Linked DNA regions of Arabidopsis thaliana. The protein of the gene in region 1 interacts with the protein of each later gene in a pairwise test. Each region holds a gene or a part of one and is shown in the gene's direction. Other genes may lie near its edges. The genes, in order: ERF8, BEL1, NAC094 and BRX.

The links.
Region 2: the proteins of ERF8 (region 1) and BEL1 interact in binary tests that used the Arabidopsis thaliana proteins (3 or more experiments, as listed by UniProt).
Region 3: the proteins of ERF8 (region 1) and NAC094 interact in binary tests that used the Arabidopsis thaliana proteins (3 or more experiments, as listed by UniProt).
Region 4: the proteins of ERF8 (region 1) and BRX interact in binary tests that used the Arabidopsis thaliana proteins (3 or more experiments, as listed by UniProt).

Annotation. Positions count from the first base shown.
Region 1 is NC_003070.9:19,819,735-19,826,001, reverse strand, and holds ERF8 (ethylene response factor 8), read left to right. Parts: upstream 1-3,749; 5' UTR 3,750-3,905; coding exon 3,906-4,463; 3' UTR 4,464-4,665; downstream 4,666-6,267.
Region 2 is NC_003076.8:16,576,968-16,586,808, forward strand, and holds BEL1 (POX (plant homeobox) family protein), read left to right. Parts: upstream 1-2,968; 5' UTR 2,969-3,456; coding exon 3,457-4,314; intron 4,315-4,916; coding exon 4,917-5,308; intron 5,309-6,133; coding exon 6,134-6,194; intron 6,195-6,278; coding exon 6,279-6,803; 3' UTR 6,804-7,110; downstream 7,111-9,841. Other genes in the region: AT5G41420 (uncharacterized protein), read right to left, coding at 8,152-8,349; AT5G41430 (RING/U-box superfamily protein), read right to left, coding at 9,152-9,637. UniProt on the Arabidopsis thaliana protein: Plays a major role in ovule patterning and in determination of integument identity via its interaction with MADS-box factors. Formation of complex with AG-SEP dimers negatively regulates the carpel identity process and favors the maintenance of ovule identity.
Region 3 is NC_003076.8:15,937,235-15,944,012, reverse strand, and holds NAC094 (NAC domain containing protein 94), read left to right. Parts: upstream 1-3,422; 5' UTR 3,423-3,521; coding exon 3,522-3,720; intron 3,721-3,809; coding exon 3,810-4,150; intron 4,151-4,239; coding exon 4,240-4,713; 3' UTR 4,714-4,903; downstream 4,904-6,778. Other genes in the region: DEG8 (Trypsin family protein with PDZ domain-containing protein), read right to left, coding at 24-122, 206-291, 591-718, 997-1,130; AGL98 (AGAMOUS-like 98), read left to right, coding at 5,669-6,028, 6,106-6,735.
Region 4 is NC_003070.9:11,443,527-11,452,015, forward strand, and holds BRX (DZC (Disease resistance/zinc finger/chromosome condensation-like region) domain containing protein), read left to right. Parts: upstream 1-3,760; 5' UTR 3,761-3,794; coding exon 3,795-3,796; intron 3,797-4,237; coding exon 4,238-4,391; intron 4,392-5,299; coding exon 5,300-5,691; intron 5,692-5,788; coding exon 5,789-5,918; intron 5,919-6,020; coding exon 6,021-6,340; intron 6,341-6,448; coding exon 6,449-6,527; 3' UTR 6,528-6,666; downstream 6,667-8,489. Other genes in the region: NIP3;1 (NOD26-like intrinsic protein 3;1), read left to right, coding at 6,934-7,065, 7,305-7,529, 7,766-8,046, 8,126-8,459. UniProt on the Arabidopsis thaliana protein: Acts as a regulator of cell proliferation and elongation in the root and shoot. Regulates roots architecture and primary root protophloem differentiation.

The DNA of each region.
Region 1 (6,267 bases):
AATTATTAATATCAAATTGTTTTACTAGTTTTGCTTTTAGGAAACGAAAAAAAACTTTTTTGAATTCAACGTGACATAGAAGTAATTTTGAATAATTAACACAGACTAATGATGATGATGTTTATTTCTTTTCGTAAATTACCAATTTAATCTGTGGACACACACAAAAGATAACCAATCCATTAATCAAGGCGTAAAGATCCAACAAGTAAGGTGTGAAGTGTCGACTGTTGACCAAGTCGTTAAGAAAAGAATTTAAAACAAAAAACAATGAACGAAAGTAATAAAATGGATAATGACGTCACTGTCTTGGTCTTCTCCTGCCGTCAAATTAAATTCCGTCTTTACGAAACTGAAAAAGAATCGACTTGACGGTGGTCCCACCTTCGTTAAATTTGCGGTTAACCGACGCGGGTCTCCATCCTTTAATCTTGTCCCACGTGTCTTTATTATCCACGTGGCATAAGAGAATCCAGAATAAAAAAATGTAGAGATTTTGGGTTTTAGCGTTAGGGGCGGCTGATTTTAGCTTATGTCACCGTCAAGAAAAACGTTATAACGCTCTTTTGTCGAAACGGCTTACGTGATCGTCACGCGTTATCATTAAAACGCGGTTCCTGAGCCGCGCGTCCTCGTGATTGTGCCACGTTTCTGAAGAATTCTCGCTCGGCTTTTTGATGCGCCGCTGATTCTTTGTTGTTGTTATTAAATTTAAAGTTGATGTTGTTGTTGTCCGTAATTTTCCAGATTCTAATGCCAATATCTGCGTCTCTTTAATTGTGAGAGGAGAGCTTTTAATTTCTCGCTTGTTGTTGCCAATTTATTTCCATCAGAAAACACTTCAGAAAAAAAATGTTCGTAACATTTGAGTATGATGGCATCTAAACTAACGCACTTTATATAGCAGATCGTCTTATAGGTTGTTTGGTAGTACAATCAAGATTAGGAAAATAAATGGATTCATTGTGTGATAGTATGTTTCCACCGTGTGGAACTTATGATGCATTGATTAATCACTCAATTTTATAACCTTTTCTGTTACAAACATGTGCTTTGCCTTGGAGTCTTCCTATTCTACTAGATTATACTTATTACTTAACAGTAGTTGACATACAATAGTCTTCTAAACTACAAAAAAAATACAACAAATGTATTCGATAGTATTCTTTTTCTTTTTACCAAATAGGCATGTAAAAAACGATCAATTGGGTTGGTTATATGTCAAAATAGGGAGACTCAAGACAAAACGAGACTCAAAACTCTCGGTTAAAGAATGCCAATCAACATGAATAGAGATGTCAATCATTAGGCCGACAGTAGGTCTTGGTGGCCTAGTCAGGCTCAAGAGGCAGTCGATCAATACTCATTCATGGTATCGATCGATTTTGTCGACAAAATGGAATTGGCATGATGAAATATCGATCAATTATTCAACAAAATAAATTGACTTGTCTTGCCTCTAACGGGCTGTTGATTGATGCAACATAGAAGCTATCGATCAACACCTTCATTTCTTGTATTTTTTTCCTTCAGTTTTGCTCCAAAAACTTTAATCTTGTTCGAATCCAGTTTTTATCTAAACTGACTCTATAAATACCAGAGATTCTTTATAACACTGAAAACTTATTGAGTATATTAGATTTAGAAGTTTAGTAAATATTCTAACACCTCAAAGTTTGAGACAGAATTTTTAAGTTGATCAAGTTATAACAGTATTCTGAAAAGTGTATTTTCCAATCTTATTGATATGTTTCATTCACGATTTTTTTTTCTCCTTTCTCTTATCCCTCGACGATTGAATTTAAGATCAGATGTTTTAGCCCGTCTAGCCAAAATGTTTTTTGAAGACATTGGCTTTGTAAATTATACTCATTTGGTTTGAGCGATAATCAAGAAATTACTTTACAATTTAAGTTTGAATTTGGCAAAAAAAAGTTTTTGTTGTGCGTTTATTTGACTAGATTATATTATACTTTACTCTAACTACAATCATATATATACATTGGTAACACGATAGACAACATATATAAAAGTCTTTTAAACTATAAAAGCCAACATATATATTCCATAGTATTCTTTAAAACAAAAACAAATATGCATGTAAATAATAGATTTGTCTTTTTATTGTTGTCACTGTAGCGACATTTTTTTCCGTCACTGTAACAACGTATATTTTCTCCACAGAACTAACAAATTCGAATCTATTTGTTTGATGGTGTTCATTTTTAATCCAATGTACATATGCAAGTAGTAGATATCTCTTTCTTTTTTGTATATACACGATATATAAAATAGTTCACTAAGTTATAAATCTAAAAATTTATTTTGATAATATTTTGTTTACCAAATAAATACACAAATAGTATATATGCGTTGTTCGTCATGATATCGTCATATATAAAATCCACTACAATATAAAATTTTGGTCATTTTGTTTGATAATATTTATTTTTCACCAGATATAAGCATGTAAATAATAGATTTTTTTTTTCTTGTCGGCTCGTTAACGACATTTATAACGGAATAACGGTATACTAAAGTACAAATTTTTATTCTATTCCCTTTATACCAAATAAGCTTTCATGGTAACATCCGCTAAATTATATATTGTCATCATGGTAACATCCGCTAAATTACAAATTTCAAATAATTTTTACTTTTACCAAACAGAAAAGTAAGAAATATTTTTTTGTCGACACTTTAACGATATATATATGTAACGGTATATAATTTACAAATTCAGAAATTTTGTTCGCTATATATTTTCTTACAAATTTTTTTTTTTTTGTTTATGTGTTAACAACATATATAACTACAAATTCGATAATTTTGTTTGAATATTTTTTCTACTAGATACACACACAATAGTTTATATTATATATATATATATATAAATCTTGACCTAACTAAAACATATAGTTTAAAAGGGTGTTATTAGTTCTTAATTAATTAAAAAAAATTCAAGAATCTGATAAAATCATAGATTGTAAAGAAATGAAAGTTTCTAAACTATTATTATAGAGTTTTCTATAATCTTGTTGATTAGTTTTTCACAATTTCTAAATTTTCTCAAACAATCTTTCTTTTTTAATGATACTTTTCGTAACTTTATTTTGGAAAAAGTGTAGAAAATCATAAACCAATAACACAATAATTTAATTCATTGACAATTATAGATTCTTTTGTTTTAGCTAAATAATATAAAATTTATAATAATTTTATAAAAGTATAAATCCAATAACTATAGATTTATCAAGATTTTAAATTATTTTTTACAAATCTTAATATTTTAAATTTTTTTAATTGAATAACAATAGATTCTTTATAATATTTTAAGTTACTAAAACTTTAATTAAATCACAAACTAATAACACTCTTTAATAGTGTATACTAGTATTATTGTTATGTCATTATATAGATTTAAATCCGCATATTACATTGCTTTAATAAGAAAAATTACTTAAAATTGCAAAGTGGCGATATAACATGTTTTATAGATTTAGTACAAATATGTTCCTAGTTTAAATAGGGATAAATGCAGCAAAAACCAAATTATATTATATTCTTAATAGGCAGTAACTTAATTTATAAGATTGTGATTTGTGCAGTCTTTGTTACAAAGGTGAAAAAGGGTAATAAATAAGATTCTTTTGGAGAAAGAGAAGTGAACACGTGGCAAAACATAAGTGGATATAATAACAAAAACCAGTTTTTATATGAAATAAGAGAAGCATGAGAGAGAGATAATTAAACCATCTCTCAAAATGGCTTTGACTGTTCACAAGAAAGCTCCCCAAAAGGAGCGTTGCTTTACTCTCCTATAAAAAGAAGCTCTTCTACTTCTTCTCGTTACCACAAAACTCTTTCACCGATCTTCTCGTTCCATTCTTCTTCCTAATTACACCATGCCCAACATCACCATGGGTTTGAAACCCGACCCGGTTGCTCCAACGAACCCGACTCATCATGAGAGTAATGCTGCCAAAGAGATTCGTTACAGAGGCGTTAGGAAACGTCCATGGGGAAGATACGCCGCTGAGATCCGAGATCCGGTTAAGAAAACTCGAGTCTGGCTCGGTACGTTCGACACCGCTCAGCAGGCGGCGCGTGCTTACGACGCAGCCGCGCGTGACTTTCGTGGTGTTAAGGCTAAGACCAATTTCGGTGTTATCGTTGGTAGTAGTCCTACTCAGAGTAGCACCGTCGTCGACTCTCCCACGGCGGCACGGTTTATAACACCTCCGCACCTCGAGCTCAGCTTAGGCGGCGGCGGCGCGTGTCGTCGTAAGATCCCGCTTGTGCATCCGGTTTACTACTATAACATGGCGACGTATCCAAAGATGACGACGTGTGGTGTCCAGAGCGAGTCTGAAACGTCGTCGGTCGTTGATTTCGAAGGTGGAGCTGGGAAGATATCTCCGCCGTTAGATCTGGATCTTAACTTAGCTCCTCCGGCGGAATAGGCCGTGAGTTTTTTTTTTCTTATGTCGTTTCTTTAGACAAAAAAAAATAACGTTTCCTTTTTTTTTCTGCCTAAGAAAAAAATATTATCCGTTTTTTAGAAGAAAGTGTAGAAAAGCTCCAATATAATTTTTAGCTGCCGTGAAAAAAAAGTCGTTATGTATATATTATTATGAAACCCTATTATAAATCGACGTAACATAAGAGGATCTTAAGCTTTTTTTTTTTCTTTAGTATTTGCCAAGGAAATGCATCATCGTAAATTCGTAATTGAAAAGATAAAGTATTATAGAGCTTTTTGGGGCTCGTGTGTAGAAGAAATAGATAAAGAATGGTAATGTTATTATTATAAGACTAAATATAGTGATGAGTATCGTCGTCGTCGGCTTGAAAAGACAATGGTCCAAGTGTCGTGAAGACACGCACCAATCGTGGGAGGACCGGACCCATCTTCTCTGGCTGCGGCGTACGTTAGAAGAATACTTCTTTACGCTTACGTCATTTTCACAGTTTGGACTGCTTTTCTAACTTTTGACTTTTGTGTTTTGCATCAACTCTTTTAACTCCGATGATTTATTAACAGATGGTTAAGAGTCTTGCTTAAGTTGAATAGTATTCGATTTGAAATGGTAAAAATGTTTTAAGGAAGTTGAAGATAAGAAGAGCGGCGGCTTCATAATGAGAGACAAAGGAAGGATGAGATTTGATTTTGATTCTTGTCGCCAACTTTGTGATCAAAAAACGTATAAAACAGTTATGCTCTATGGTCGCAGATCCAACGGCTGGAATCGTCATCGTTACCACGTGGACGCTTAACATAATTTAAATTCTTATTTCATATTTTTTTAAAGAAGTTAGTATGTTTTAAAATATATATATATGCATGCGTACAAAATCGTGTTAAGGGTTATAATAAAGGGATGTAAAATTGGGGCCTCTAGAAAGTTGAATAGTTTCAATTAAGCCCTTATCTTAACGACATTTAGCCCCACTCAACCAAATATACACCCATGTCATGTCACTACGCACAACTATGGATCACTCCCATAAGTAGATGTTTTATATCAATTGACGATTGCAACTTTTTTACGTTACAAATTTAATGCTGGACCGAAGGCTACCATACTAGGATCCGAAAGCCCGATCCACGTGTGGCGTCATCAGGACAATGTTTGCGACACGTCGGCTGAGGTGTTTGGCGCGGTGTTTATGATAACGGCGTTTACACAAACCTCTGTTTATGAGCTCTGTGACTGTGACTGTATGATTTTAGTAAAATAACGAAAACAAATACTAGGTCCTTTCGTTCTTTGACCATTTCTCCGACCAAAAAGGGACCACTTACTCATCTACGTATATTGGATAATACATTGTATTATCACCTTTAATGAATACGTGTCCTCTGTGAAGCTTCAGTGACCCAATGAGAAAACAAAAATGCTGATTTAGTGTGACCCCAAATTTTATTTATTTTGTACGTAAACAAATGTTTTCGTTGACTAAAGAAACTTTGCCATTGGGCGATGGCCTTTTATTTTGGATGAAAACTCAAGAACTTTTGTTTTGCTAAATTTCCTTGTTATGTTTAGGCCTCAAATAGAAAACTTAGCAAAACTAAAGATCTTGAGTTTTCAATTTTTCATCAAAAATAATGGTCCTTAGTCTTTTGAGTTTATATTGTGAGAAAGAGAGTCACGGTTGCTATTTATTTCTTTGTATGTTGCTATTTCCAGAGTAACGATTGAAAGATATACTCAGGTTGGGACTTAATCATCTAAACCAAGACCGAGCTGGTATTCCTGAGCA
Region 2 (9,841 bases), on another chromosome or scaffold:
GAGAAATCATTGTTATTTTTTTTGTCATAAATCTGAATAGTTATTTTCTTTTGGTTTTGTAATGAATTTATAACATATTAGTATTACTTAAAATTGTCCTATTAATTATCTGAGAAGGTCAGTATTAGAATATAGATGCTTTATTCAATTGAGTTGTTTTTCTTAGACATTGGCGCGTGGAAGAGGATATATAAAGTTCATATAAATGTGAATATGTAAGAATTGGAGAAGAAAATAAAATGGTCCCAAAGAGAGACGAAAATAAATGCATTTTTTTGGGTGGAATGAATATAAAGAAAGAAAGACATTAGAAAGAAAAAAGAAGCAAAAAAAATGGAGGACCACTTAATCACCTCTCATGCACAGTCCCTTAGTTTGGGAACAATTCTTGACAACAATTATAAATACTCCAATTCTGAAAACTAATAGTTTGTTATTAACGTATAATCTCAAAGTTTTGGATATTCTTATCCTGTACTTCCTTGATAGTTTCAGTTAACAGTTTGTAATTAACACATGTATTTAATTTGGAAACAAAAAAATGAATGTATAGATGATTTTTTTTTTGAATTGTTGGTAAATATATGAACTTGACGTATATAGCAATAGTATACTATATTTAAGCAACTGAATGTGAATATTCTATAACACAAGTAATATCAATTTTTTGTGATATTGTTGGTTATAAGTTATATTCGAATTTGTCATTTATAAGAAAACTCACTGGTTTATCCATCCAATGAAAAGAAGAAAGCTTTTTGGGTGACTCTAATAAATATTAGCGGTTAAATAACTACAAACACAGTGTTGTTTTTGTCTCTTCTATGTATCTTTTTATGTCCTCTTTTACAACTTGGCTTTGATGTTAACTAATCAAAGATTATCCTACTTAAAAACTATTTAATTAAATAATTTTTAATTTCTTTAAAATTAATTAATTTCTTGATATGTTTTTGTAACGCCAATTAATTATACGTTTTTCATAATGTGGTGTTTGACTTATGGTTTGAATGTTAAGATGTCGTATATATCTAAATTCTAAAGAAAGAAATTTGCAAATTTTGTAATAAACACTATTTTTACAACAATTAATAATACATGTGCCAAGCAGAAGAACGACTATATTAGTTTTCTATGTCAACATTTAAGAAACATTTATTTAAAATTTGAATATTTGATTTTGTATGTCAGCAATGTTTAAGAAAACTTTGATTTTTTGTTTTCCTTCTTTTGCGTACATATTAAATGGAATTTAATAGAAAACCATTAAATCTTGATATAATTAACTTCTTCGCCCTTGCAGTTACTAACAAGGAGACTTTTGTTTTGGTACTTTCTCGATTAGTTTAGTGACCGACCAACAACGTATTTTAAAACTCAAAACACAATCTCTTTCACGTACTGTGCGAAGTGCAAGTCGAATAATGACATCAGTCCATTTGTGTTGTATTACACGGGACTACGATCTCTATTCTACTATATATAATTACTATTAATTAAAATGTTTATATAGTTATGATATGGTTGATAGTAATTTAATAGTAATTGTTAAACAGTAGAGAAGTGACACTGAGACATATCTGAGAAAAGCCTGAACTCAACTCCTACTTCTGGTTTGATTTCTTGGGATTCGTTCTCTTTCATTTACTTACCTCTCCATCTATACACCAACATATATATATATATATTGGTATGTTAATTCTCCAAAAAAAAAAAAAACTATTTTAGGAGCAAAACTTTTTCACAGTTATTCATTTTTTAAGTTAACTTAACTTCTCTTCTTTGTTTGAAAATTCATTTATCATCAAATAATTCTGTTATAAATTAGACCTGATAATAATTCTTTAACAAAGAAAATATATTTTAGGAGCAAAATAGGCAGAGCCGCAGAGGCATACATGTATTATATATAACGATTATTTATGTATAGAAAGGGACACCTTTTGTACAAAATACTAGTTAAATTTGTACATTCACGTGACTGGTTGGCTAAATTTAGAATATTATTATTTTCAATTAAAAATCATCGTCAATGTTCAAATATTGCTTGAGATACGCTATGCTTCATAAAAATGTTTAAAAAGTAGTTCCAAAAAATATTTTCACCAAAAAAAAAAGTAGTTCCAAAAATATTCATTTAATAACAAAATTTGCCTACATAAGCTTAGCAAACGACACTAACACCAAAATTGATATCATTTTCTTAGATAACATATTGTATACATATCTACATACATACTAAATACATATACACGTAGATTACACGTATGGATTCAGCAATAAAAATCAAAATACTAAATACATATATACATATATATATATATATATGAACATTTAAATACTAAATTATGTTTAATAAATAATTAAATCAACGTAGAGATATGTCATATGAAGATGGCTTGTATAATTAGTTTGTGTACCGGGCAAAGGATCTCTAATTTTTGTTTTCTTTAGTTCAGTTTAATTATTTGTTATCTATCCAATCAATTTTTTTTCTAAACTGTTTGGACCAATGTACGTACGTACCATCCTTTTTGATTTTTTTTGTAAACTAAATTTTCGAATTAGCAGGTTCTTAATAATTGAACGAAGAAAATAAAGAATAGAGGTAGACACCTGTAGTATTTTCTTGGTCAGACCAATAATTTATAATTCAACGTCAAAGAAGAAGAAAAATATAAACCATTATTTCATTATGACTTACGTATACCAAAATACACAAATTAAATGTATAATTGTGAGGCATTTTATATGCGGGAAAAAATAAAATAAAAAGAATATTAATATTTCTTTTGAAAATTGTAAAGCATTTTGACCCACTTGTGATATATATATATATATAGATATATATAGAGAGAGAGATTAAAACATTGATGGCTAGCTATAGAGTCTATGGCAGGGTCATGATCACCTGTCTTCTGATCTCTGAAGAGATACCAATCTGATTTTTTCTCTTCCTAGGTTTAATTTTATTTTACCATTTTATAATTCTTTATTTTTGCCTGTAGTACAATTTACAGACCCATACTAAAAGAAAAATTAAATTTTGTCAAAGTACAAAACAAAGAGAGAGGTGAAGCCACACAATCTCTTTTCTTCTCTCTCTCTCTGTTATATCTCTTCTGTTTAATTCTTTTATTCTTCTTCGTCTATCTTCTCCTATAATCTCTTCTCTCTCCCTCTTCACCTAAAGAATAAGAAGAAAAATAATTCACATCTTTATGCAAACTACTTTCTTGTAGGGTTTTAGGAGCTATCTCTATTGTCTTGGTTCTGATACAAAGTTTTGTAATTTTCATGGTATGAGAAGATTTGCCTTTCTATTTTGTTTATTGGTTCTTTTTAACTTTTTCTTGGAGATGGGTTCTTGTAGATCTTAATGAAACTTCTGTTTTTGTCCCAAAAAGAGTTTTCTTTTTTCTTCTCTTCTTTTTGGGTTTTCAATTCTTGAGAGACATGGCAAGAGATCAGTTCTATGGTCACAATAACCATCATCATCAAGAGCAACAACATCAAATGATTAATCAGATCCAAGGGTTTGATGAGACAAACCAAAACCCAACCGATCATCATCATTACAATCATCAGATCTTTGGCTCAAACTCCAACATGGGTATGATGATAGACTTCTCTAAGCAACAACAGATTAGGATGACAAGTGGTTCGGATCATCATCATCATCATCATCAGACAAGTGGTGGTACTGATCAGAATCAGCTTCTGGAAGATTCTTCATCTGCCATGAGACTATGCAATGTTAATAATGATTTCCCAAGTGAAGTAAATGATGAGAGACCACCACAAAGACCAAGCCAAGGTCTTTCCCTTTCTCTCTCCTCTTCAAATCCTACAAGCATCAGTCTCCAATCTTTCGAACTCAGACCCCAACAACAACAACAACAAGGGTATTCCGGTAATAAATCAACACAACATCAGAATCTCCAACACACGCAGATGATGATGATGATGATGAATAGTCACCACCAAAACAACAACAATAACAATCATCAGCATCATAATCATCATCAGTTTCAGATTGGGAGTTCCAAGTATTTGAGTCCAGCTCAAGAGCTACTGAGTGAGTTTTGCAGTCTTGGAGTAAAGGAAAGCGATGAAGAAGTGATGATGATGAAGCATAAGAAGAAGCAAAAGGGTAAACAACAAGAAGAGTGGGACACAAGTCACCACAGCAACAATGATCAACATGACCAATCTGCGACTACTTCTTCAAAGAAACATGTTCCACCACTTCACTCTCTTGAGTTCATGGAACTTCAGAAAAGAAAAGCCAAGTTGCTCTCCATGCTCGAAGAGGTATATATATTTTCAAGAAATTATTTCATTACTACTATCAAAACTTACATGAGTTTCTTAGAAAATCTAATCCTTTTTTATTTGGTTTCAACTTATTCCTAAAAATGTAAAATACCCACAAGTCTTTTACAAATCTTTTTTTTTTTCCTTTCATTTGGTTTCAACTTATTCCTAAATATGTAAGATACCCATAAATCTTGTATTTTTTCGATTCTTGATTAGGTCCATATATTTCTTAAAGTTACAAATTTCTTTTAGATATTAAGATAAAAAGATTCTTTTTTGTCTTCATTCTTTCATGTATTCTCGTCGAAAACAAGTTCGATCGTATCAACTACGAAAAGATCAACCCTTTTAATTCCTTTACTCATTATTTCTTTTTTTCTATAGAACCAAAATATAATTTTGTTTTCTTTGCTTTGAGCTAATTTGGAGACTCTAGTGGTCCTCCATATTTATAGCAATCAGTTTCATCATCATAAGCCATAACGAGTTGTTTCTTTTTCGTGTATTTACTCATTCTAAGAATCTACATTTACACGATTGTGATTGAAATCTTTGTGAATGGTGTGGGGTAACGTTTTTTTGCGGTTTTTTGGCAGCTTAAAAGAAGATATGGACATTACCGAGAGCAAATGAGAGTTGCGGCGGCAGCCTTTGAAGCGGCGGTTGGACTAGGAGGGGCAGAGATATACACTGCGTTAGCGTCAAGGGCAATGTCAAGACACTTTCGGTGTTTAAAAGACGGACTTGTGGGACAGATTCAAGCAACAAGTCAAGCTTTGGGAGAGAGAGAAGAGGATAATCGTGCGGTTTCTATTGCAGCACGTGGAGAAACTCCACGGTTGAGATTGCTCGATCAAGCTTTGCGGCAACAGAAATCGTATCGCCAAATGACTCTTGTTGACGCTCATCCTTGGCGTCCACAACGCGGCTTGCCTGAACGCGCAGTCACAACGTTGAGAGCTTGGCTCTTTGAACACTTTCTTCACCCGTAAGTTATTTCATATACATCCTCTTAATATATTTACACATACCTAAAAGTTACTAATTGTGTCTTTCTGAAGTGATCAATGAAGGTAGAATCACAAGTTAATTGGGTATATTTATGGAGCTATATAAAACCTCTTTAACGATTTTATTTCATTGATAGTACGTTGATAAATAGTATGATAGGTTTTTTTTGTTTGTTACATGAATATTTTTGAACATATAAAAGTAAAAAAATATGTACATTTTATATAGAGAGATTGAGATTGACTTGACAAGCATAGGATACAATCTACCTTAATCTGTTAATTGCATATAGCTTTTTTATTTTCCTTTTTCTTTCATTTGCACTATTGGTGTGAAAGTGAGTGTACAAACATATACATATACACATGTATATATATGTATACGAACATATAAAATTAAATAAAATAAATTTAACTGGTGGATGAAAGACAGAAATAGAGAAAGGTACAAAGTGGATTGAGAGAGAGAATCAATGTTCTTTACCTAACACTAACAAAAGAGAGAAACTATACATAACTCCTTGCTTTTTTCTCCATGTTTTTATTTTGTTCTTTTTCTTCTACTTTTTATTTATTTAATTTACAGAAGTTATATGTTTATCATCATATGTAACACTTGTCTCCATCAATTCCCAAACACTGCTCAAACAATGAAACATCTTGTTAGTTTTCACCAAACCCTTTACCTTTGCTTCCATTTTATTTGCATCATTCTTCAATCATTTATATCCTTTTTTTTAATTACATATCCATTTGTCTTATATTTTTCCATTAAAGTAAAATTTTCTTATTTTTGTTTTCAGATATCCGAGCGATGTTGATAAGCATATATTGGCCCGACAAACTGGTTTATCAAGAAGTCAGGTAAAGAATAACTCCACTAATTCTTGATATATTCCAAAATTTATTATCCTATTTACTAAAGTTATAATAAACCAAAATTGTTAGGTATCAAATTGGTTTATTAATGCAAGAGTTAGGCTATGGAAACCAATGATTGAAGAAATGTACTGTGAAGAAACAAGAAGTGAACAAATGGAGATTACAAACCCGATGATGATCGATACTAAACCGGACCCGGACCAGTTGATCCGTGTCGAACCGGAATCTTTATCCTCAATAGTGACAAACCCTACATCCAAATCCGGTCACAACTCAACCCATGGAACGATGTCGTTAGGGTCAACGTTTGACTTTTCCTTGTACGGTAACCAAGCTGTGACATACGCTGGTGAAGGAGGGCCACGTGGTGACGTTTCCTTGACGCTTGGGTTACAACGTAACGATGGTAACGGTGGTGTGAGTTTAGCGTTGTCTCCAGTGACGGCTCAAGGTGGCCAACTTTTCTACGGTAGAGACCACATTGAAGAAGGACCGGTTCAATATTCAGCGTCGATGTTAGATGATGATCAAGTTCAGAATTTGCCTTATAGGAATTTGATGGGAGCTCAATTACTTCATGATATTGTTTGAGATTAAAAGATTAGGACCAAAGTTATCGATACATATTTTCCAAAACCGATTCGGTTATGTAACGGTTTAGTTAGATAAAAACCAAATTAGATATTTATATATACCGTTGTCTGATTGGATTGGAGGATTGGTGGACAAGGAGATATTATTAATGTATGAGTTAGTTGGTTCGTCAATATCACTTGTAGGATATTTTCATTTTGTTTTTTAAAATATATTATTGAGAGGTTTTTTTCTCAATCTAATACTTTTTTCTTAATGTAAATCATATATATTTTTGTTTAAGGAAATATTATCAAGTGTCTTTTCAAATCTGTTTTCATATTCTAGGACCATCTCAAACTATTTGGAAACATTCAATCCCTTAAAATTTTGTTTTTCTTATAAATTTGGTTTCAAAATTTCGAAAAGTAAATGGATATATAGTTTTTTTTAAAGTATGTTGAGTGTCTGTACATGACAATCGTTTACGTATATACTTGATACAAATTATAAAATTGAATGTGTGTAACTGTGTATAATATACACATAAATAGATATCACACAAACATGGACGAGTGAAATTTGTGTAGTTGGCATGCATTATACGGATTTGGAATCGAATAGATACGACTTCAGTAACGAAAATCACTAGACCATCATATTTATATAAAGACATAATTAGAGAGAGTGTATGGTCTTTGTGTTATTAATGACAAAACCTAATAAAATAAAGTTGACGACAAACATAATAAAGAAAGAACAAACTGACTATTGGACCATCTCGGTCGATCGATAACGTTCACGTGTACACTCCCGTATACATATAAAGTTATGTACACATGAATAATGAATTCAAGCAAGTTTCAAGAGTGACTGAATTAACAATTTGACACAAAATACAGATAGACTTGTATCCTATAGTCTTATTCAAACATCTACAGTCTCTTAAACACGAGATTAAGTGTTGATAAGAACAAAAATTATCGATAAGAGTAAGACATACGTCTCTTTCCAAAATGCAATATATATACATTGACATTGTTTAAGAAACTTTTCTGTCTAATTTAAACTAAATCTAAGAAACATATTTCTAAATCTAAGACTGTATAATTTGTATATATATTTACTCGTCGCGGTCAATAATTCAAATATATAAATGTCAAAATTTCAAACATTAATGAATTATGGTTCATGTGTCACATTTGGGCTCCTTCAAGCCAAAAGAAACCTTTACTAAATTTCTCTTTAGGATATGTCGAAAAAGTCTTATAATATGGATTCTCAAAGATAATATACCAAAATCGTGTTATTAAATATCTATGCAAAGGAATTCTAGGGAAATTAAGGAAGTGATGTAGACTAATTCCTATGCGGTTATTGTTCTAAGCCATGATCTATCATGTGTGGAGGAAAAAGAATGGGAGACGATACCACCAAGGCCATCACCCAATCCTCTCACACGAACCATTGATAAATCAATCAGAAATAGCATCAGCTCACAAAGAGACTCCGACCTTAGCGGTGGTTCTCTACAAGAGGAGTACCTTACTCTTTTCAGCTTCATTTGGTTTGTTTCAACCGCAACTGCGTTGTTTTTTTTTTGGGTTTTTTGTTTGGTGTATAATTTTTATTTGTGTTGATATATAAATTTTAAATTTTAATTTCAATCTCCCAAAACAAAATTCGTGATTGCAACACATCGAACGGATTAAATAACATAACCAGTGGTTTGGGATGATTTTAATTTTTCTACAAATATACCCATGTTGGAATGTTGAATTGGTGATATTAATCCAATTTTCCGATTAATCGCTAGAACTATACCGAGCGGTCAATTAACGTCTAGCGGTTCTTTTAACAACGGGTAAAATTCACGATTCCGATTTTAAAACAATGATTCCAACTTGCGTATGAGACGACCTACAAGAATTTTAGATTGAGATCGAGTCATGTACTCCACGAAGCTAACGAGTAACGAGTCAAGAGACTGAGAAGTACTTCTCTGTTTAAAAACTTTAGGTTAAGTCGTATATTTTTTTTTGTTTAAGTGAAAAGTTTAAGATTATTAATTAGTAGAAAATATTTGAAAATGAAGTTGGACCTGAAAGATAAACACCAAATTTTCTTATCCTAATCCCTTCAAAAAATTATAAACAACAATTAAAACCAAAAGAAGCTAATAACCCAAACGGATCAAAGTCCAAAAATACCAACGTAATGCCCGAAGATAATGCTGCATCAGATTTAAAACCGTCCACATAAATCCAATTTATTGATTCAATAGTTTGCTAAATAAAATAAAATTTGGAAACTAAAACAGTTATAAAATAAATCGACTCAATGGGATTAAAAAAAAAAAAAACCGGTCAAAAACATCGACAATTTGGGCAGCTTCGATTCTGTTTCAGCCAAGAATCAATACAAGAACGATGGAAAACATGTCTACACTTCTTTATACGGATAATCTCATGGCCATCTTCTAACTCTTCAAGACAAATTGAACAACCAATCTCATCAAATCCTTCTTTTTCAATATCTTTAAACTCCATTTCCTCGATCGATGCCCTATAACCGATTTTAAATTCTAGTTGAGAATGAAGCGGCATTAGATGTCCGGTTTCATTGTCTTGCTGAGGCTGAGGCTGAGGCTGAGGCAGAGGCAGAGGCAGAGGCACAGGCAGAGGAGGAAGTGAGGGATGAGAGTTTTGATGTGTCTCAAGAGCTAGTTCCGTAGGAGGTTGAATATACTTGTTGCAAGAGTCAGAGATGATATATAAGGTGAACAAGACTATTAAAATGGCCCCTGTAACGACTATTGAAGACACATCCAGCGAGGGCATAGATTCTATCATCCTAATATTACTTTTACACCAGAGAGATCAAATTTGGAGTTGTAGCTGAAGCAAACTGATTCGTATCCATGATGAGAATCATTATCAACTTTCATTTATATTTATCTTCCTTTTTTTTTGGGTACATTTTTTAATATCTAGAGATGAATCTTTATTACGAGATAAACACATATTTTAGATATGCATGTTAGTTTACTATATATT
Region 3 (6,778 bases), on another chromosome or scaffold:
CTTTAAGTACTGCGAATCAGTACCTCAACCACACCCGTCATTTTGAGCTGAGGCCGTAATGTCACATCAAAGATGTTGACAACGGAATAAGTATTCTTCTCAAACAGTTGCACAATTCTCCCCTGAAACATAGAAAAGATATATAAATCTTTAGGATAACCATCAAAACCTGAAACTTACAAGTACTTTCGCTAAAGAGACAAACCTCAGTAGGGAAAAGAGGTCCAGCTGGGAAAACAGTTGGACTAACATCTTCAACGGTTGCAACGGATGGATCACCAAGTGCTAAGGCTGTAGTAATACATCACGGAGCATACTCAATTATCAAATTCTATCACTAATGGATCAATGAAAACCATCTTATTATAAGCTTACTATAAGTGTTAATGAAGAGGTTAGACTAGTTCAAGGAGCTTCAGAACTCTACCACTAGTATTGCAAAATCCTTTAAACTAACTTTGAATCATCACCAGCTAGGAACTAAAGGCTCTGATTGTCACAATTAAGCTTCTTAAACAAGATATATTCCTCATCAGATTTGTGTAAACAAAGCGTTAGAAGAAAAGCAAATAGCTGAACAAGGTGCAGACCTGATAAGTACCTTGAAGGATTAAAGCACAAATTCATGAATAAACTTGTCAACAAGATTCTCCTTGTCGTCGAAGGGACACTTTTCACAGCTAACTCATGTAAATTCGACTTCCAATCTTGAGTAACCCTATCGAATAATCAAACAGTCAAAAAGTAACATAAACATCAAAATTCTCCAAGAAATCAACAAATCTTAATGTCTGATTCAAAATGAGAAGTTTCTCCAAAAGATTGTTCCAAAAGTTAAAAGCTTTACGGTGATTTTTCACTAACGTTGATTCACACATAACACCATTCTTAGTAACCTAAAGCCCATCAGGAAAAGACATAATCTTTGAGCAACCCAAATCAAAGGAACAAATTTTCAGCAAAATTTGGGGCAATGGAAGAAGCTAAAATGCTTACTTGACAGAAGAAACGGGTGGGTGTGAAACGACGTCGCCTTGAGAAATTTTGGAACAGACTGAAGAAAGAAGTTGTCGTCGACCAACAAATTCATTCTCATTAGGTTTCGAACAGAAAGATGCTATTACCTGCATCTTTCCAAAAAAAATCGAGAAAACTCTGAGACCAGTCGATTTGGCAAAAACCTGGATAAAATTAAGAATCTTAGATAATTTTTTGTGTAGCTTAGGAAGAAGAAGATACTTGAAATACCGAAATGCCCTCTCTAGTAATTTAGAAAATAAATGATTTATTTATTTTATATGTGTTATTTTGTTGTGAAAAAACCCAAAAAAGCAGATATTTATTTTTTTATTAAGAAATATTGCATTTTATACGCGAAATTTTAAAAAGTAATTATTTTAAATATGTGAACTTCGTATATGGCCATTTAATATATAAAAATACGTTGATCGGGCACCATTTCATACAAAATTATTTGTTGATCATGCCAAAATACACACGACGTTATCTACCGCTAACAGATCCGATAACATCCGTTAACTAGTCTCTTTTAGTTTCCAATACAACGTCGTTTCACCATAATCGAAATGAGAAAAATGTCATTTAATACTCCAACTTTCAAATTGTGACAGTTTTATACATCAACTTCACATGTGATTATTTTATACATAAATTAAACATTGACCAGCAGTTTGAAATATGAAAATGCGTTGAGCAGACCAGAAAAACATATCGCTATCTAGGCCTAGATATTCGGATTTTAGTTTGGATTCATAGGGAACAGCACTTCTATCGGGAAATGGGTGTCACGCCGCGATCCAAAAGTGTTAATCGAGAAGAACAGCAAATATGCATTGGGCTAAAGACGTCATTCAGTTTAGGTCCTAAGAGTGAATCAAACGATGTGAGGCCTGAGTGGAAGATGAAGGAATTATGCTTTTAAAAGTTTGAAACAAAAAGAAAACTGTAGGTTTGCTTCTTGATTTTCCAAATTCCTCTTCATTGTTGGACTCTTGTCTTACCATGTATACTTTGTTTTTTTGTTTAGGTGGACCACAATGTGATTGTCTTGTGCAAGGTCTCTTTCAAAAGTGTTATCAAGGTTTATGAAACATCTCCACTTCTTTATTTCAGGTTCACAATTTACTTTTTTTATCTCACTAAATTAAAATGTCTCCTTCAATTCTCTTTTCTAGGTTGAGCAGACCACTTTGGAGGAGCTATTAATCGAACCTTGCGAGCGAGTGTTGTACCAGCCGAGAGGCAAGTGTACCTCCATCATCCTCTTCCTTTGAGGACGACGAGCATGTCCGATACATGCTCCCTAGGGTTTAGTCTCGGAGATAGATGGTTTGATGTATCGGTTTTAAAGCACAAACCGTTCAAAGCATTAAAGCAAAAACTTGGATTTTCACAGCATTAATAGATATTCCAAGAGGATGGTTGTTGACAACTTTAATGTTTTACATATAAAGAGAAATAGAAAGCTTAGGTTAAAGGCTATTGACCAAACTTCCCAACTTGTGTTGCGTGGGTTAAAAAACCTAGGCCATTTTTTGGACTTCTCTCATCTTGAATTGTTTTTTGGTTCATCTTGTTTTTTTTTTTTTTTTTTACCACGAGATCTTCATTTCTATTCTACGTATACATTATGTTTTTACATGTCTCAAACTTGGAGACATATATAGCAACCTTAAGCAATGCCTTCGATTTTACCAATGCCTATATTGACTTACCATGGATTTTACTTTTCTTATATGTTACAATAATATATATAAAAGTATGAAACTATAAATAAATGTGGAAGAAGGAAGGAATAAATTAATTTTAGGGAATCGCGAATTTGAGATTTCATAATTTACGTAAAAGAACATTACTTTATTTACGGCTATAACTAAAACTACAACGACCCTTTGCTTAAGCACCACAACTTTCAAATATCAATCTTAATTTATAAGACTTTTACTTATAGACTTATAGATATAGAGATTGGATCCCATATAGATTCTACTCTAGAAAAACGTTTGACATTAGTCGGTCAAAGTCGTATCATCATTAAGTCATTAACCATATAGTTAGATTTTTTTTGGTAGAATGCATCTATAAGATATCGAAACAAAGGAAGAAAAACGTTTCCATATCATATTTTCCTAAAGATAAACCACATACGTAATGTAAGTATAACTTTTCCTATATTGTTCGACTCGTCCGTAGCCTCGATTTCACGAAGTACGCAATAACCTTGAAGTTTGAATCTTCTCATAAGAAAAATAATAATTTTAACGGCAAAATTCAAGATTCATAATATCTTTCTTGTATAAATCTCCTCTTATTCAAGAGACATTGGTCTTATACCTACGCATCACTTTCTGGTCCAATTATCGTTTCCCTATGAACCCATTTCTTCTTCTCTAAGAAACTTCTTCCTTCTTCCCCAAACTTACTCTCTCTATCTCTATAAATCTCTCTGTTTCTCTTCATCAAATTTTGGTATCCCAAAAGTACTAATTCTGTGTGTGTTAATGGTTCTAGTTATGGATGATGAAGAGAGTAACAACGTTGAAAGATATGACGACGTCGTATTGCCAGGGTTTAGGTTCCATCCCACTGATGAAGAACTCGTAAGTTTCTACTTGAAACGGAAGGTTTTACACAAATCTCTTCCCTTTGATCTCATCAAGAAAGTCGACATTTACAAATACGATCCATGGGACCTCCCAAGTAAGCCACAAAACTCTAACTTTTAATTCTCCAAATATATGGAAACAAAATATTTGATTATGCATTTTCTTAAATCAATGTTTAAAAAGAGCTTGCAGCGATGGGGGAAAAAGAGTGGTACTTTTATTGTCCTAGAGACAGGAAATACCGCAACAGCACAAGACCTAACCGAGTAACTGGAGGTGGCTTCTGGAAAGCAACCGGAACAGACCGGCCTATATACTCATTGGACTCCACTCGATGCATCGGTTTGAAGAAATCACTTGTGTTCTACCGTGGTCGAGCTGCTAAAGGAGTCAAAACCGATTGGATGATGCATGAATTTCGTCTCCCTTCTCTCTCTGACTCTCATCACTCATCATATCCCAATTACAATAACAAGAAGCAACACCTTAACAATAACAACAACAGCAAGGAGCTTCCTTCAAACGTAAGTTATCGGATTTGCCCTAACTTGCTTTACCCGCAACAAAGGTTAGGTTACCAAACAAATTAGAATCGATCTTTTTCATTTTGTAGGATGCTTGGGCGATATGTAGAATATTTAAGAAGACAAATGCAGTATCCTCACAAAGATCAATCCCACAATCTTGGGTTTATCCAACGATTCCTGACAACAATCAACAGTCACACAACAACACCGCAACTCTCTTAGCTTCATCAGACGTTCTCAGCCACATATCAACAAGACAAAACTTTATTCCTTCTCCAGTCAACGAACCCGCAAGCTTCACAGAATCAGCTGCTTCTTACTTCGCGTCTCAGATGCTCGGAGTCACGTACAATACAGCCAGAAACAACGGAACAGGGGATGCTCTGTTTCTGAGAAACAATGGAACAGGGGATGCTCTGGTTCTGAGCAACAATGAGAATAACTACTTCAACAACTTGACTGGAGGGTTGACTCATGAGGTTCCGAATGTAAGATCAATGGTGATGGAGGAGACTACGGGGAGTGAGATGTCGGCGACGTCGTATTCCACTAACAATTAAGATCATAGTACTATTAACACTTGAATTAGTGTAGACGTTGATCATCGCTAATATGTATTAATTTTTCTTGTCTTACTATAAACGTTGCTTCTCTTTTGGTTTCTTGAAGGCCGAAAAGAAAAAGAAAAAAACAAAGACTTGCTTCGAACATGCAACTTCTCCTTAATTTGGTATAGATAATTGTAATGGCTTTTTATATTAATCATTAAGTCTCATTCTTGAATGACACTAGTTTTTTTGGATTTTTCAGAGCCATATTTCATATTCTTTATGAAGAGGATACAATGCTTTCTTTTTTTTTTTTGAAAATAAGTAAAGAAAATATGAATTTGCAAAATCTTTTATTTATGTCAATAATGGCAAAGTAATGGATTAAAAAGGTACACGGAGTTATAAATTATATTTCTCATTTTTTAATGGAGGGTTCTAAATTTTATTTAAAATGGATGTATTTTGGTCGATTTTTGTTAGATTGTATTGTCACAAATTTTTAGCAAATCCAATAATTATATTATTAATTAAGAGCTATTTACATAATGATACAAAGGGTATCTGAAATATATATGGACAAGCAAATCTTTCTTTTTTATAGATCTTATTAATTAAAAGAGAGTGAGAGTAGAAAAAAAAAACTATTTCCTTTTTATCAGTCCTTAACGGCTAAATTACACAAATCTATGCAAAAGATATGGAAATCAAATCTTCACAAGCTTTGTTTTACCGATTAGAAGAGTGAAAAAAAAATAAAAAATCTAACTTTAAGGACCAAATTTTCTATAAGTATATCGCTATTTCACAAAGTTGTCTCTGACTTTCATATTCTTCATCATCTTCTTAGGGTTTCCTAAACCTAATTCGTAGTTTCACTCTCTCAATTTCATTCGTCTTCGTGCTTTCTCTTCACTTTGAACGTGAAACAAAAAATAGAGAGATTGTCTTCGAAATCAACAAGAAGATGGCCATTCGATCTTTACCTTCTTCCTCAGGCTGTTCCAATTCCTCTTCGTCTTCTTCTTATTCACTCGCTTCAACAAGTTTGAGCAATAGACTTGAGACCATCTTCAGGAAAGCTTCAGAGCTTTGCACTCTCTGTGATATCGAAGCATGCGTCATCTATTACGGACCAGACGGAGAACTCAAGACATGGCCTCCGGAGCGAGAGAAAGTGGAAGACATTGCTCTCAGGTATAGTCAACTAAACGAAGCCTTGAGACGCAAGAAGAGCGTTACTCTTTATGACTTCCTGAACAAGAAGAAGAACAAGACGAACTTGGAGAAGAAAGCAAAGATAAAGGACAACGACTTGAAAAGACTTGTCTGAAGAACGTGAATGTTTTAAAGTATCCAATTGCTGATCATTACTCTCCTGACCAAATTTCTCAACTGATTCAGTCCTTAGAACCTCATGTCTCTAAAGTCCGAGAAAGGATTCGTTTTGTTGAGTCGCAGAAACATAAGGAGACAAAACCGGATCATCAGAGTTTAGCATCATCCTCTCTGAATAATCAGACCCAATCTTTGAACCCTAGCCAGTTTTCGCTGTTTATGTATAACCATGGAGATAATATTCTGTCTCAGATCCCAGTCTCTGCATCAAATTTCAATCAGGATTATTTCTCAGCGTTACTTGAACAATCTGAGTTGAAGAGTCAGATAATGAAGCAGGAGGTTTGTGGTTATGAGCAGAACATGTGCATGAGTAACAATGGAGATGCTACGCTCTCTCAAATCCCACTCTCTGCATCAAATTTCAATCAAGAGTTCTCAGCCTTACTACAAGAAGAATCTGGCTTGATGCAACAGGAGCTTTGTAATTATGATCAGAACATGTTTATGAACAACAACAACTTCCAACATTCTTTTGTCTCAAACACACAAGATCACTCTGCTCCTGCGGTACAAGAATCTGTGAACAACAACTATGGGTTGATGCCGCATGTTCCTTGTGGTTATGATCAGAACCTGTTTACGAGTGATATTACCAACAACAACCTTCTTATCGACAACTCGATGTTTCTCTGATAACAAAGCTCATTCAAGAGAGTGTGAGACTGTTTTTTCATCT
Region 4 (8,489 bases), 8.4 Mb from region 1:
AAACTATCAAAGGTTGGTTTATATTGATTATGATTGATCCAAAAGCCTTTAATCAACCGTCTACATTTGGTAAGTCATATGATCCGTTTTTAAGAAAACAAAGTAACTTAGTTTTATTTTACTATTAATGGACTATGTAAATTCATCAAAACATGTATAAACGTATATACTGTATATTAGTGTTATATGTTATAAGCTTCTTCTGTATAAGTTTACTAAGTTTTTTTGACAAGGTTTTTTTCAGTTTATGTATAAATATATACTGTCTATAAATCTATTAAATCTAAATCGATGCCGTTTTGATTTTTACAACATTTCATATGACAACAAATTTAGAAGGTTGACTAACAATGTTATGATCAAAGTTGATTCAAGCCAAAATTATTAGTTATTAACTAGATCAACCTAAATAATCCATGTATGTAGTTTAATTGGTGGCCATAATTTACAGAGAAGTGTAATGCCTATTACTTAACCGCGAATCAACATCACGATATTATCAGCCTATACAACTTTGGAGAATGACTCCTTATGCCTATCATTATTTAGTAATTTTATAATTAAAAGTTTGTGTTTTAGTTTACCATCTTTATCGGAATCAAGTGAGTTTTTTCTACATATTTTAATCTAAAATTAAAAGTAGAAAAAATCGATGACCAACACGACTAAGTAAAGTCAAGCTCGTTCATATCACTTTCATATAATTATTTTAAATGCTTCGAACTCGATACATTCTTTCAAGCTACACTGAGAAACTTCATTGTGATTAATATCAACACCTTTTTGTCTGAGGTTAACATTTTATGTTACTAGTATGCTTTTTCTTATATCATAGAGATTCAGCTCGTTTGTACTTCCTTAGAAAATTTGTAATTCACTATGTTATAACCTTCAGTGAAATTCGAACATGGCCAAATATTTCATCATTAACCCCAAAATCAAGAATGCTTGTCTTTAAAACTCTTTTGACATTTCACTTCCTTCGTACTTTTCACGTATATGAATGAAAATAATAAAATTTATAAGAAATCTTCGTTTAACATTTCTTTTCTAAAAAAGTCATTGCATGCATGAGATACTTACATATGCAATTGAAGAAAACAAAATTACAGTACAAATATTTATTCCAAAATACATTAACACATCGTCAATTCTGCAAGCTTTTCTTCTATAGCAATCTCTAAACCTAGCATAATTTGGTTTAACGAGTCAAGAAAAGACAATTTTTTATTTATTTTTTAATATGGTCGGACCATTACACTATATTATATATTAAAGAAATGAACATGACAAACAAACACATCACATGTGTAAAATAAATAGAAATAGTTGTATCATCCCATACTTCAATACTCCATCCACCATGCCAACATTAATCCATGATTGGGACACTATTTAAGCAAACACTTCAACTTACACTTTCACACTATATTATATAACTCCAAATGTCCAAATGAAAAAAATTCAATGAACAAGTTATTGATTCTATTCACAATCGATGCTTCTTTACTCATTTAGTAGAAACATAACAACAAAAAATTGGCACACATGATCATAACCAAAACAAGACAAAACGATGAAACACACATATATTATGTATAGTAAAATAAAATAAAAAGAGATGATGAAATGAACCCACACAAAGCGAATCGTGATGCGACGGTTCCCTTGGCCTGTCAAATGTATCGTGACCAAAACCCGACCCGGTTTCAGCTGTCTCAAACCAATCAGAAACCGCCACGTATTCTACTTCCACCACACGTAAGCCATCTCCGTCACCGGTAGACAACATGGGCCCTCTTTGCCGTCTCTTCTCGAGACCAATATTTTTCCTCGGCACACCAAAATAATAAACCTCCGTCAAAACTCACGGTTCTTTTTTATTACATTAAACGCCGTTAAACATTCTCTTTCCTCCACGTATATATATATACTCTTCGTAACTCTTGTCTCTCTTCTCTTCGTCTAGTTAAAACTCTCGGAGCTCCTTTCAGTTCTCGGGTCACCCAATAACCCGACTTCTCGACCCGGTTTCGTCTCTGTTCTCATTTTTTCCAAATTTCTCTTCCGGAAAATGAAGATTTCTATGGGTTTTTGAGTTTGGAGATTTTCTCAGTGAAGTTTATTACATAATCAGATTCGAAGAAGAAGACATTTCAGGTGAGTTTATAAAAATTCTCTTTTTTGAAGATTTTTCTCGGGAAAATAAGAAAACAGAGAGATTCGTTGCTCTGTTTCTGTTCTTCTGTAGAAACGATTAGTCACTGGTTTTTTTCCGATCGATCTTTTCAATACTATTTTTTCCCGGAAAAAAAAAGATTCAGAGATTTTTTTTTTTTTTTTTGCGTTACCTTTTTCTGCAAACATTTGTCACTTGATTGATTTGATTTAGACAGATTCGATTCGTCATTTTTTTCTGATTAATACCAAAATTTTCTCACTAAACCCAAATCAGAAACTTCACCGAAAAATGTGTATTCATTCTTCAATATTAATATAAATTTTCATTTTCATTCAAAAGTTTCCCGGTATTTATTGTTCTTTTACTTTTTTGAGAAAACGCCGAATTTTTTCTCAAAAACATTAAAAGCAAAATTGTAGTATCATAAATTGTTTTCGTCCTTTTGTAACACATTTATTACAATTACTGTCTGTAACACTACTACACTAATCTTCTCTGCAGCCATTGATGGTCTATTTATAGACGTAGACTCAGAACTAACCCCACTCGTGCCGGCTTCCTAAATAGACCAAAGCCTTCAAGAGGAAAATAAAGCAGAAGCTAGCTATCTAGTATCTCAATAATCTCAGATCATATCGCTTCATTTCTCAGATATCGAAACACAAAGGTGAGTGAGTAATAAACAAAACCCACTAATCAAAATTTTATTTTTTGGATTGTAATGATTAAGAAAAAAAGAAGAAGTCGTTTTCTGAGGTGAGAATAATAATGGTTTTTGTATCAGTTTTTGCCTTTGCTTTTGATATCAAAACAGAGTTTTTTTCGTGATTCGTGATTGTTTTTGCGATTTTATCTTTTACTTTGGATATAGTTTTAGTTTTCATGTCGCGACACGCTTTAGATTGGTCCATCATCACTCAAAACCCTAAAAATAGAAACCAATCTCTTTTTCTTTTTCTTAACACGTGACTGTCAAGATTCCATTTTCTTGTTATATTTTTCAATTTTGTTTTGCTTTTCTAGTGTTTCCAATTGTTTTCTTCTTTACTTATGTATTTGTCTTGATCGATGTTAAACACGCGGAATCAGAACATATTATTTGATTCTCTTGAGTCATCACAATAATCTGATTTTTTTTTAAAATGTCATAAATTTCGGCTACTGCAAAAAAAATGTAATTATTCTTCGAACTTTTGTTAGTTGAGGGATGGGTTTAGGATCTTTTGCTGCACACAAAAGTATTAAGTTATTCTTTAACAAAAAAAAAAAACTATTTAAAGTAGAATAAAGAAGCATTTGTCTCTATTATGATTGTCTTTAGAATATATTATTACTTGTAAATAATGTGTTTATACAATTTTCAGGTGTTTAGATTTGCACAATTAATTTTTAAAATATTAGTATTTCTTAACTGGGTCCTATTTTCTGATCCCCAAGCTCTCTTTCTTTTCTAGTTATAACATCTTTTTTTTTTTAATAAAGAAAAGTGTAACATGTAGTTTTAATATCTCTTTCAACACTTTTGTCTTTATCAAGATCTCTTCACTAATTTATACCCATCTTTTTTTATTCGCTCTTAAAATAGGTAACACAAATATCCGACCATGGTGTAATGTAAACTGTTTTTCTTTCTTTCCATTTTTAAAAAATGGGTTTAGTACTTGAAATATTTAGCATTGGTTCTTTATGAGTTAAACTACTAACCAGTCAAGTTACATTTTCTTTTTGTTATAACATGAGTAGTTGTTTCCTGACTAGAGATATGTCAACAACTTTGTCCTTTTGTGTTTGTGTTTTGCGTTATAAGAAAACGACAATTGAAATCCAAATACCCTTTTCTAGCTATATGTTCCTAACTTGTAACTAATGTTTACATGTGTACTACGATTACATAAGCTTTACCCGTGTTTTATGTCGGATTGTGAGAGTGAGCTCTACTTTAACGTTCTTAATTACTTTTTGTTTTGTTTTGTAGAGTATTATTATTGATTTGAGTAGAGTAGTGTGAGGTTTGGTTTGTGATGATGTTTAATAGAGTACTCTCTGGTTTTATAGGTCTGAAAAGGCAGAGAACAACTCAAAAAAGAGACCAAAAATGTTTTCTTGCATAGCTTGTACCAAAGCAGACGGAGGTGAAGAAGTCGAACATGGAGCGCGTGGAGGCACCACTCCCAATACTAAAGAAGCCGTCAAAAGCCTAACCATTCAGGTCTCTCTCTTCTTTCTTTGTTGATCCTTCTTCTGCTTTTATTTTCTTTCACTTTATTTTATTGCTTTTCTCTAATTGCCTTGCTCGTGAAACAAACAAAGACACAAACCCCAATTAACGTATCTTAGAGGACTTAAAAAGGGTCCATATATTTGACTATTATTCGTTTTCTTTACCAAAGAATAGAGTTTGAAGTCATTAGTATATAGAGGTTACTGTTGTTTAGGACAGAGATCTTACAATGAGGTAACTTCACTTCATTTTTTGGAATCTTTCACCAATCTCTCTTTAATAGTTTTCATGTCAGTGTTTGCTTCCTCTCTATGTGACTAGACATATGAAAGTCAAAAACAACTACTGAAACAATTTAAACCCTCATTGTACATATCCTTGAATTATGTAGCCAGTTGAATTATCAGGACTATCATTAAAGCTTATATTGGGGTCATACTTTGATGAATATTGCTAGTGAAGCTTGATCTAAATACCTTTCTCTCAAATAAGCTTTAGTGGATTCTTACCTAGACAAGGAAATAAAGAAAGGGTTTTTTGGGGTGGGGGTAACTATTTTAGTAAATCAAAAGAACATAAACAAAAGAAATAGTGGGCCGTTATGATTGTGGTGCAGGCTAAGAAGACAATATGAAGTTTCTTTTTTTAATACATATGTTTAATTATGTTAGATCTCATAGCTTTATTGTTGTTCTTTTAATAATGATCATAGTAGACCTCTTTTTACTTCATTGGGCTAAAAAGTATACTTAGTCATACTTAAAAAGGCTTGAAACTACCTATAATGTTTGTGTACCGTTATACTCAACATTCTTGTGTGTTTAAATGGATTACTTTGATAAACAAGATAAAGTTTTTGAATGTAATCGGTCTTTTTGGGTGCATATGTTACGCAGATTAAAGATATGGCTTTGAAATTCTCTGGTGCTTATAAACAATGCAAGCCATGCACTGGTTCCTCTAGTAGTCCCTTGAAGAAAGGACATAGATCATTTCCGGATTATGACAATGCCTCTGAAGGTGTTCCATACCCTTTCATGGGTGGAAGTGCTGGTTCAACTCCTGCTTGGGACTTCACAAACTCCTCTCATCATCCAGCTGGACGGTTAGAATCAAAGTTCACTTCAATATATGGAAATGATCGAGAATCTATCTCTGCACAGTCTTGTGATGTTGTACTGGATGATGATGGACCAAAAGAGTGGATGGCTCAAGTAGAACCTGGTGTTCATATCACATTTGCTTCTCTTCCCACTGGAGGAAATGATCTCAAACGGATCCGTTTCAGGTATTTGAACTACTCAAAACAATCTCTATATCTTCATGGCATTCAACGCTGAAACATGAGATAAAAACTAACAATTACTTGTGTCTTGTTTTGAAAGCCGAGAGATGTTTGATAAGTGGCAAGCTCAACGGTGGTGGGGTGAGAACTATGACAAGATCGTTGAGCTTTACAATGTACAGAGATTTAACCGCCAAGCTCTCCAAACGCCTGCAAGATCCGACGATCAGGTAAACACATATATCCTTAGATCCCTTAGTCTTTCTTCAGAACAGGATCTATATGAATCTTGTCTTTTAAGCCAGAGAGGGTAACACAAGTTTATATTTCAGTCACAGAGAGATTCAACGTACTCAAAGATGGATTCAGCAAGAGAAAGCAAAGACTGGACTCCAAGACACAATTTCAGACCTCCAGGATCTGTCCCGCATCACTTTTATGGCGGCTCTAGCAACTATGGACCAGGAAGTTATCATGGAGGACCACCGATGGATGCAGCAAGAACCACAACTTCTTCCAGAGATGATCCACCTTCCATGAGCAATGCTAGTGAAATGCAAGCTGAGTGGATTGAAGAGGACGAGCCTGGTGTTTACATTACCATCAGACAATTATCAGATGGGACTAGAGAGCTACGTCGAGTCAGATTCAGGTATAACAAAACGTCTAAAACTAAGCATTTGCTAATCATATACATTTTGAAAGTTGGTAATCATACCGTGACTAACCGGAATCTATGGTTTTGTGGTTTAATCAACAGCCGGGAACGGTTTGGGGAAGTGCATGCAAAGACATGGTGGGAGCAGAACAGAGAGAGAATACAAACACAGTACCTCTAAGCAAACGAAATATTATGAGTACCAAAATCTTTAATTAATTAATTAATCTCCTTCACATAACAACACAAACTACACACATTTTGCTTATCTTTTTGTTCATCTTAGCTTAACATCTATACATAAATTAAGTGTTTTGAAATATCATTTCTAATCAAAGCTGATTACATTTACATATAATTATAAGTCTATAACTATCGTGTAAACCATGTCGTGTGTTTTGTGACAAAGATAAAGAAGTCAACTATGAACCTAAAAGAATTTATCAACATGCGGTATAGACTATAGAATAAAAAAGTCAACTTTATTATTTGCTTATAAGTTATAACGAATACAAAGTAGAGTTGACCATTTGAGTTTTTAGATGAGAAAACCATAAACTTGGAGGAAAGTCACCATAGTTCCATCAATGGCTGAGATTTCTGATATTACTACTCAGACACAAACCGTTGTCTTGGACATCGAAAACTATCAATCCATTGATGATTCCCGGTCGTCGGATTTATCCGCTCCTCTTGTGTCCGTATCGTTCGTTCAAAAGGTGAGCCGCCTCTTTTATGTTGCGATATGGTTTCTTAATTTGTCGTGAAATATTTGTTAGTCCAAATCAAGATTTTATATTTCGTGTGATGTTTGCTATAGCCTATATGCAAGCTCAATCTTGACTTTGGTTCTAATTATTGGTAACTGATTTTCCAATCTATGAAGTATGATAATCAAATAAAACAAACATTATTGTTCTCTCTTTAGTTGATTTTTTTTGTTGAAAGTACTCTATAGTTGATTGGAGAGTTCGTGGGGACATTCACTATGATATTTGCCGGTTGCTCAGCCATCGTGGTAAATGAGACGTATGGCAAACCGGTGACACTTCCCGGTATAGCTTTGGTATGGGGACTAGTCGTAACGGTTATGATCTACTCAATTGGTCATGTCTCTGGTGCACATTTCAACCCTGCTGTTTCTATTGCCTTTGCCTCTTCTAAGAAGTTCCCTTTTAATCAGGTGATCCAAAGATATCTACAATTGTAAAAAAATACCTCATACTATCTTTATAATGTTATTTCATGATTTCGACCATATTCATAATTATAAGCAGCAAAATATGTATTTCCACTAGTTATTTGTTAAATCAAGTTTTTCTCGTTTATTCCATTTCGCATATTTGGTCATTTTACCATAGATATCATCTATACCAACTAGTCTTACATTGTATATGTAATGTGGTGGTTGTATTACAGGTTCCGGGGTACATTGCCGCTCAACTTCTCGGATCGACCTTAGCGGCTGCAGTTCTACGGCTTGTGTTCCATCTAGACGACGATGTTTGTAGCCTCAAAGGCGATGTTTATGTGGGAACATATCCGTCAAACTCAAATACGACCTCGTTCGTAATGGAGTTCATCGCTACTTTCAATCTAATGTTTGTTATATCTGCTGTCGCAACCGATAAACGGGCCACCGGGTCATTCGCTGGAATCGCTATTGGCGCAACCATAGTACTCGACATCCTTTTCTCCGGGTAACTATTCTAAGTCTCTTTTGAAAAATTTCCATGGTGATTTTGTTAAAACATAAGCTAACAATGTTTTATTTTCAAGGCCAATTTCGGGAGCATCTATGAATCCAGCAAGAAGCTTAGGGCCTGCACTTATATGGGGATGTTATAAGGATTTATGGTTATACATAGTTTCACCCGTGATCGGGGCATTATCAGGTGCATGGACTTATGGTTTGTTACGATCGACAAAGAAATCATATAGTGAGATTATTCGTCCAAATTGCAATAAAGTATCTTCGAGAGATCGCCAAGAAGCTTCCCAAGATGAGATTTGTGTTCTACGAGTGGTTGATCCGGCTAATCAAAACTATTTTATATGTTCATCACCTACTGATATCAATGGCAAATGTAATGTTACATGTAAGTTGGCGTGAATTATATCGATGTACTATTCACTAAACTAG